2 linked regions of the Mytilus edulis genome follow. The protein of the gene in region 1 interacts with the protein of each later gene in a pairwise test. Links are inferred from orthologs where the notes say so. Each region holds a gene or a part of one and is shown in the gene's direction. Other genes may lie near its edges.

Region 1 (3,762 bases):
AAATGTACCATAAATACTGAAATTCAGCTCGAAAAAGTTCGTACGCGTTATGACCTGAGATTTGATTCTTCAATGCAGGTCATGACCTGCATTTTCATCATCACAGGTTGACAGGTATGTATATGTTAGTGCGTCGCTTGTAACACTATATGTATTTGGTAGTTGTGTTTGTTTATTTTCAGTCGCCTTGAGCCGATTTCATTCATTTGTTCGTTCGGCCGTTCGTTTTTGAGGGTCGTAATTGGGGTAACTTCATGACGAATAACGGTAAAAATTCTTGCCAAATGACGTTAACGGTAACTTTTGGTATATATATACATGACGATAAAATGTACACTTATTTTAATCAATTTGACGCTAACGGTAGCCGAAATGACTGTTTGACGCCTGACGTTAAAGGGCATTACTAGTTCGTTTATTCGGCCTCGTTCGTGATTGATTTATTCTGATAGATTCATTTATTCGTTCGTTCATTCATACATTCACGATTGATTGATTGGTTGCTTAATTGATTGATTGATTAATTAAAGTTGATTGATTAATTAATTGATTAATTGACTGATTGACGATGATTTACCATGTGGATATCATAAGGAATTCGTTCATTCACTCAACTGTCTATTCCGTTTTATCTTTTTAATCATCGTGTTTCTATTTTACTGTAAACTATTTTATTTCTTCATCTTTTCCGGATTTATACGTGTTTTAATTATTTGACTCTAAACTTAGGAACACCAACAACTGGTTCCCTGTCACAAATCGCAGTTTATTTCGGGAAATAAAACTTAAAAACCAGACACCGCAAAGCATTAGAAAAAAATATATTCCTGATAAAAGTAGAGCTTGGAGTCATACAGTTGAATTAACATTATATATACCGTTTTAAACAGTGATTTATACATTTTTTACCAGCCAGCTTTTACAAATAAAACAGTTTTGTTGATAAAAAAAAAATAAAACTCGGCTCTCTCTAGATCTTCTCAGTACATAATGTGAAAACCTTCGGAAGTTTGTTTATTCTGAAAGCATATTGCATGAATCACCAAAAATAGATTTCACATCAAAAGACAACAATAATATACACACAAAAGCCACGCCTAATTTTCAGATCAAATGGAAAAGTTGTATAATTTTATTCAGGTATATGTAATGTCTGTTATTATTGTTAAAAGTTGCTGTAATTATATATTAAAATACAGACTAGTCTGAATAGAAATTTATTCCAATTTGCGGATTGGTACATGTTCATTTTTATGATTGATTCTTGCTTGTTTAACATCCAGTAACAAATGACAATTCAAAACAAACAATGCCAGCAAGAGTTTATTGCAGACCTGTTGCACAACTCCAAACTAATGTTGATGTCTTTGGAACTACAAAGGAATGTCCAAGGTTGTGAGAATGGTTAAGCACTAACAGACATGTTTTAGTTTACCCAAACACTCTTTTAATGTGCCTGTCTGCATCCAGAAGTCTGTGTTCTAGTGGTTGTCGTTGGCTACTGTGTGACGGTAATTGTTTTTCTTTTCTTCTCCTCATTTGAGTTATTTTTAGTATGGATGTTGAGTTTTCACATTTTTCCATTAGGAGGTATCCTGTAGTTTGCTTTATGGTTCCAAAAAGAAACATATATACATAAGGAATCTGAGAAATGAGAATTTGTAACAGTTGAACTACAATCTTTATTCATTTTTATGCCCCACAACTAAAAGTTCTGGGGCATATTGTTTTACCCCTGTCTGATCGCCTGTACTAATTTCCACCCGTCTGTCCCAATTTAGGTATATAGTTTTCACTTTGCTGGCTTTTTTTACATATTTTTGAATGTGTTCATGTGGTCAGGGTTTTGATTTCTACATGCTATTTTGGGAGATAGTTGAACTTTGTCATCTTTGGAGTATACAATGTACATGTATACTTGAATAAGAGGTCCTCCTACAGTGAAAAATAAACCTATGTGCTCCATTGCTCACTTTTGTGTATTTTAAAATTAATCTTTGGATCTGTGGGGGCATCATTTGTGTTTCTCAGACAATAATATCTCAAAGAAAGTCTCACATTGACTTAGTTATAATACAGTTACTTCAGTGTGGAGTGTGGGGGCATCAGTTTGTGGCCAGTCTCTGATATGACATGAAAATTTTACAACAAAGTCTGTAATGCCTTTAATGGCAGACCAATATAATATATGGTTTTGTTTATGCAATATTTCACATTTTGTCATGTTGAAGTCTTTTATAGCCATTATAGCTAGCTTGCTAGTCTGTACCGGTATTAGTTTTGCTCATTGTCAAAATGTACATGTAGTATAAGTATGGTCAACGCCATGATTGTTCAAATTAGTTTAATTATATTTTACACTGCAATATGTAATCAATTATCATGATTATAGTCATATATTAATTGCCATCATTTTTCACAATGAAAATTTAAATGTGATAAATGCCTTCTATTTATGATTTAATAAAATTAAAAACTTCTTTGAAATTCATAATTGAATGACTGTTTTGTTTGCCTTATAGAAGTGTCAATGAAAAATTTTGTTTGTGTATATGAATAACTGTGTGAGACATGTTCTCATTTAATGCATGTTGATAAATTTCAGTAAAAGAAAACATTTAAAATGCATGAAACAAAAAAGATGTGGTACGATTGCCAATGACACAACTCTCCACAAGAGACCAAATGACACAGAAATTTTAAACAGCTATAGGTCATCATACAGACTTCACCAATGAGCAAAGCCCATACAGCATGTATACAGTCAGCTATAAAAGACCCTGAAATCACAAATTTAAAACAACTCAAAGGAGAAAACTAATGGTCTAATTTATGTACCAAAGAAATGAAGGAAAAAAAATATGTGACACAGCAACAAACGACAACCACCGAATTACAGGGTCTTGACTCAGGACAGACACATACATGTACAAAATGTGGCATGGTTAGAGGGATCCCAACCCTCTCCTAACCTGGGACAGTGTCACAGTGGTGTAACCAAACAACATAATAACGAACTGTTAAAATCAGTTGAAAAAGTCTTACATATAATTCATGAGATGGATACAATAACAAATAGGGAGATAACAGTGCATTTTGGACTTAGATGATGTAAAAACTCTACCATCCTAACATATTATTTATGTCTTTAAGGCTTTATACCATTCTTGATTGAATGATGTTGCTTGCTAAAGTTATAGTGGCAATTATTTCATGCAATTTCATTACACTTCAGTCAATGAATGGCTGTATATATATAACAAATGTTTGTACAACAATACCATTTTACTGTGTCAATAGCATGGTTCAACACAGAGTTTTGCTGCTGCATAAATAGATGAGCAAAAGTTACTTCCCTTTGACCTTTTCTTTAAAATAAATAATAATGTGAACAATGAGTTTTGAATTTGTTTTCTGAATGGGCAACCTCATTCTTGAAAATATTAAGTTTTTATCAGATTAGAAAATTGTGTCATTATTGATTTGTGAAGGTCATTTTCTGTTATGTATTTTACCATTGCTGATTAATGACTTTACATGTACATGTAGCAACATTTCATTTTAAAATTAAAACTTTTTGAGATCATAAGAAATGTATCAGAATTTCATGTTCTGAATAACTATAATTAAAGCAGGCAAAACATTTCAGCACATGAACTCTTGTTTTTAAAAAAACTTTGAAAATTAATTTATTTTTTGACATACAATATGAATATTTATCAAATAATGGATGTATTTAATTATAGAAGAGTTATAAGGTAC
Region 2 (3,762 bases), on another chromosome or scaffold:
CCTGTATGCAGTCCGGCGACATAAAAAGTATTAAAAACTACAGGTTACAGTTGTATATTAAATCAATTTACCTATTGCTGAAAGAAGTAATGTAAGAAATTCTGGACAGTGTTGTAGCATTTCTTTTCCTATGTCTATGAACCAATTCCTTTCGCTTAGGTCTTTGGCACTCGACTTAAATAACACACTTTTGCCAAGTTTACATACTGAAGAAATTTGCTTATCAAGATCTAGACCATCATGACTGTTGTAAGAATTGATGCATGCTTCCTTAATAAAATCTTCGGCGATTTTTTCATTGGTTTCAAGAGCTTTGTCCATGATGTTTGGAATGGAATACTCATGATCCTGTAATAACACTACTTGATCCTCTTCCTGATGTTTTAAGATATTATGTTGGGAGTAAGCATGTTCTAAATTTAGATCTTTATTAAAATTTAGTTGCTGCCTGGATTTTTTTGTTACTCTAGCACCCTTCTCCTTTTCGTCTAAATTCAAATTTCTAAGTTTTTCGACTGAATTTTCAATCTGATCAGCAGTACTGATTTTCATGGCAGAAGGAGGTGTTTTAGGCATCCTTTTAGTTCTAGAAGTAGTATGGTTTGATATAAAATTATCTAAATTTTGTTTAGCACGTCCTCTAAAATTATTGAAGTGTTTACATGCATTAGCACATTTTTCACAAATAAACATAAACTCAAGCAGACTTGAATCCAATTTTATATCTAATGTTGTTTCGATTGATCGTGTATATCCTTCATTCGAAGCTTTATGTTTTGTAAGGCAATGGAGTCTCTTCTCAGTGTCACCACACAACAAACAGCACTTGCTAGTATTTGATATAGTTTTAATCGGTGTATCCATTATACAATATATTCAGGTAGAAAATGAAAACGAGTTAATTATAAACAGAGGCACAGTGTGGAGAATAAATACTATATACATGTGTCAAGAGTTATGGTTGATCATACCATTGTTATGATTCTAATATTTGTTACATCTCATTGTTAATTCACGAATAAGTCAATACGGTGACTAAACAATACATTGTCAATTTCGAAGGAATATTCAAATACTTGCAGCTGAATTCACAATGCTATAGAGACATATTTTTCCTCAAGGCTCTTGACATGAACTAAGTCGAATGACTAATGTCAACAAATGTCTAATGAAAATTAAAAATGTCACACAATCATACCACCAGGTTATATACATAATTAATAAATGTCATCCATGATTACATAATTTTCTCACAAACAAAATAAACATGATAAAATGGATAATATTCAGTCATTCAAAGGATCTATTTTTTCTCATGGGCGCAGCCATGATGATTTATCAAATTGCAATATTTGATATACTATATTTCCCTCCTTTACAGGAGATCAGTAATGGAAACCTACGTATCACGGACGAGGTTAGATGAGGGTACGGAATCGGCCGAGTTGAGACGAATGACTGAAATGGCAGACGAAAAGAAGTATTTTTTTTTTATAATTATATGTGAGCTTTTGACATCACTTTGCGTCCGACGCATCGTATGACATTCGTCGTCTCAAAATTGTAAAAATAGTCTGCTCCTCTGAATATTGTGTCAATGTCAGCATGTGGGTAAAATCATTCAATGTTGTCATGATTTTCCAAATTTTTGCTTTTTATGTTGAAAAAACTATAATCTAGATAGAGAGAAACGTTATACAATAAAAAAAAAAAAAAAAAAAGAGCATATTTTGTAGTTGTGCATATCAACATGATCAACAGGAAATTATGATTCATTTTTTTGTCACCGGACACAATTACGAACGATTTTTGAACTTGTGATTAATATTTTTTTATGTAGACTACTTTTCTTGAATTGTTTATACCATAGAATTTAAGATGTATGAAGGCTTTCCATTTTGCATCATATCCCACATAAATTTTTATTCACATTAGGATACTTTAGAAAGATTTGCGTGACCACGTTTTACAGGTCAAGAGAGCCACATGTGGACGCAATTCCGAACAGCAGTATATTGATATGAGACGCCAGCTTGAAATGGAGACGCTAGAGGAAAGAAGACACAGCCTCCGTCTTATCCTGATTTACAAGGTGGTTGAGGGTCTGGTGCCGGCTCTACCAGCCGACAATTTTGTCATACCAGCAAGACCGAAACGAACAATTAAAGCCAAAACGTACTTAAACTGTGAAACTGACAATATCATCGAACGTCAAGTTATTAATAACACCAGAGGACTGAAAGTACCAAATAGCAACAAACCACAGTACAAACATTCATTTTTTGTGGAAACAACTATTCACTGGAACCAACTACCAGATAAAGTTGTGCATGCAGGTTCTGTAGAGGCATTTAAGACCGCTCTACAAGAACACCGCCCATAACAACGGCGCTCTTCTCCACCGTGTATAAAAGCCTTAATAGGATTCTACACGTACCACTACAGATACAGATCTTGCAGAAGAAATCAATGACAATAGTCTAGATTGATAAAGCATACATTAATCTTTATCTCAAACACATTTTCAAAGGAAAATAAGATGCACAAGTTTGTTTTTTTACTTCAATAACTTCAACAGTGGTTGCAGACGAAATGGCGGTTATGTGTAAAGGAAAGATTTCTGATTTTTTTTGTTTTTGTGTAAGTTCATCCTTTACAGGAGCACTAAATTCAAGTTTATCCATTTTGGTGCCGTACTTATCATTCATCTATGGCCATCTATGATTTTTTTTTATATAGGTCAACATTTGTTTCGGAGTTTTCTGGACTTTTCAATCAAATTAACATATTTTCTATTGACCATAAATAGGGTCACAAGATGCTAAAAAACGTCAATTGTGGGGTTATTTGGGCAAGATAAAAGGCATCACGCACATGAACAGAATCAGGAGATATTTTTCTTTCTATATATTGATAAACGAAGGCAATATGCACTTACCTTTATGTTTTTTTTTATATAACTTGCAGGCCAGATTGCCGTTCTTATAATATTTTCAGAATGATTTTGTCATCGTCATCAACATTCACCAAGTGCACATAAATTGTATTATCATGGAAACAAGGGAATTTTAATAGGGTTTTTATTTATAAAAACATTTATTGATAAATATAAATAAATATGATCTCAGAGGGCAAACATTGGAAATCGCTCGTAATTGTGTCCAGTCGTAATTGCGTCCTGTGGGGCTAGGAGTAGAGTGGGGCGCTCATATTCGCCGTGGACACAATTTCGCCGTGTTATGATTTTGAGGTGTAAAACTTCAAAGGATGGTTGAAATTGAAGAAATATGCCGGTAAATTATATTTTTATAACAAATATGATAATTTTTGAAAATGAGACCAAATTTCGACATTTACCGCAAAGAACCGAAAAACGGACAACAATTTTCAGCCAATTTCCTGAAGAAAAAAACGATTTCAAAGAAGTATTTCTCTAGTAATTTTTTGAGTGATTGCCCTTAATTTCAGTTTTTTTACACTTTTCAAATGTCTGCTTTTCATCTATAATGAAATTTATTTGATACATATTGTTTAAAGTTGCAGTTATTTGGTTTTAAATAGATGTGTAACAACGGCGAATATGTGTCCCCCATTGTCAAAACATCAGAAAATTTTAAACACCCTTTTATCCAACATTTCAAATGAATTTTCTCAAAACAAACACGTTTTAAAGCTAAGAATATTTTGCATTTGAAGTCTTCATATAGAAATATCAGTATACATGTATACTTCAAAAACATAGGGACCTGAACATAAACTGAA

What was found. The genes of interacting proteins can lie anywhere in the genome.
Region 2: the proteins of ligand of Numb protein X 2-like (region 1) and selenocysteine lyase-like interact in binary tests that used the Homo sapiens proteins (3 or more experiments, as listed by UniProt). The link is inferred for Mytilus edulis from reciprocal best matches to the Homo sapiens genes LNX2 and SCLY.

The regions. Positions count from the first base shown.
Region 1 is NC_092350.1:40,602,121-40,605,882, reverse strand, and holds the start of ligand of Numb protein X 2-like, read left to right. Parts: upstream 1-1,002; 5' UTR 1,003-1,140; intron 1,141-3,762.
Region 2 is NC_092356.1:8,095,774-8,099,535, reverse strand, and holds the start of selenocysteine lyase-like, read left to right. Parts: upstream 1-1,461; 5' UTR 1,462-1,463; coding exon 1,464-1,480; intron 1,481-3,762. Other genes in the region: uncharacterized protein, read right to left, coding at 72-864. UniProt on the Homo sapiens protein: Catalyzes the decomposition of L-selenocysteine to L-alanine and elemental selenium.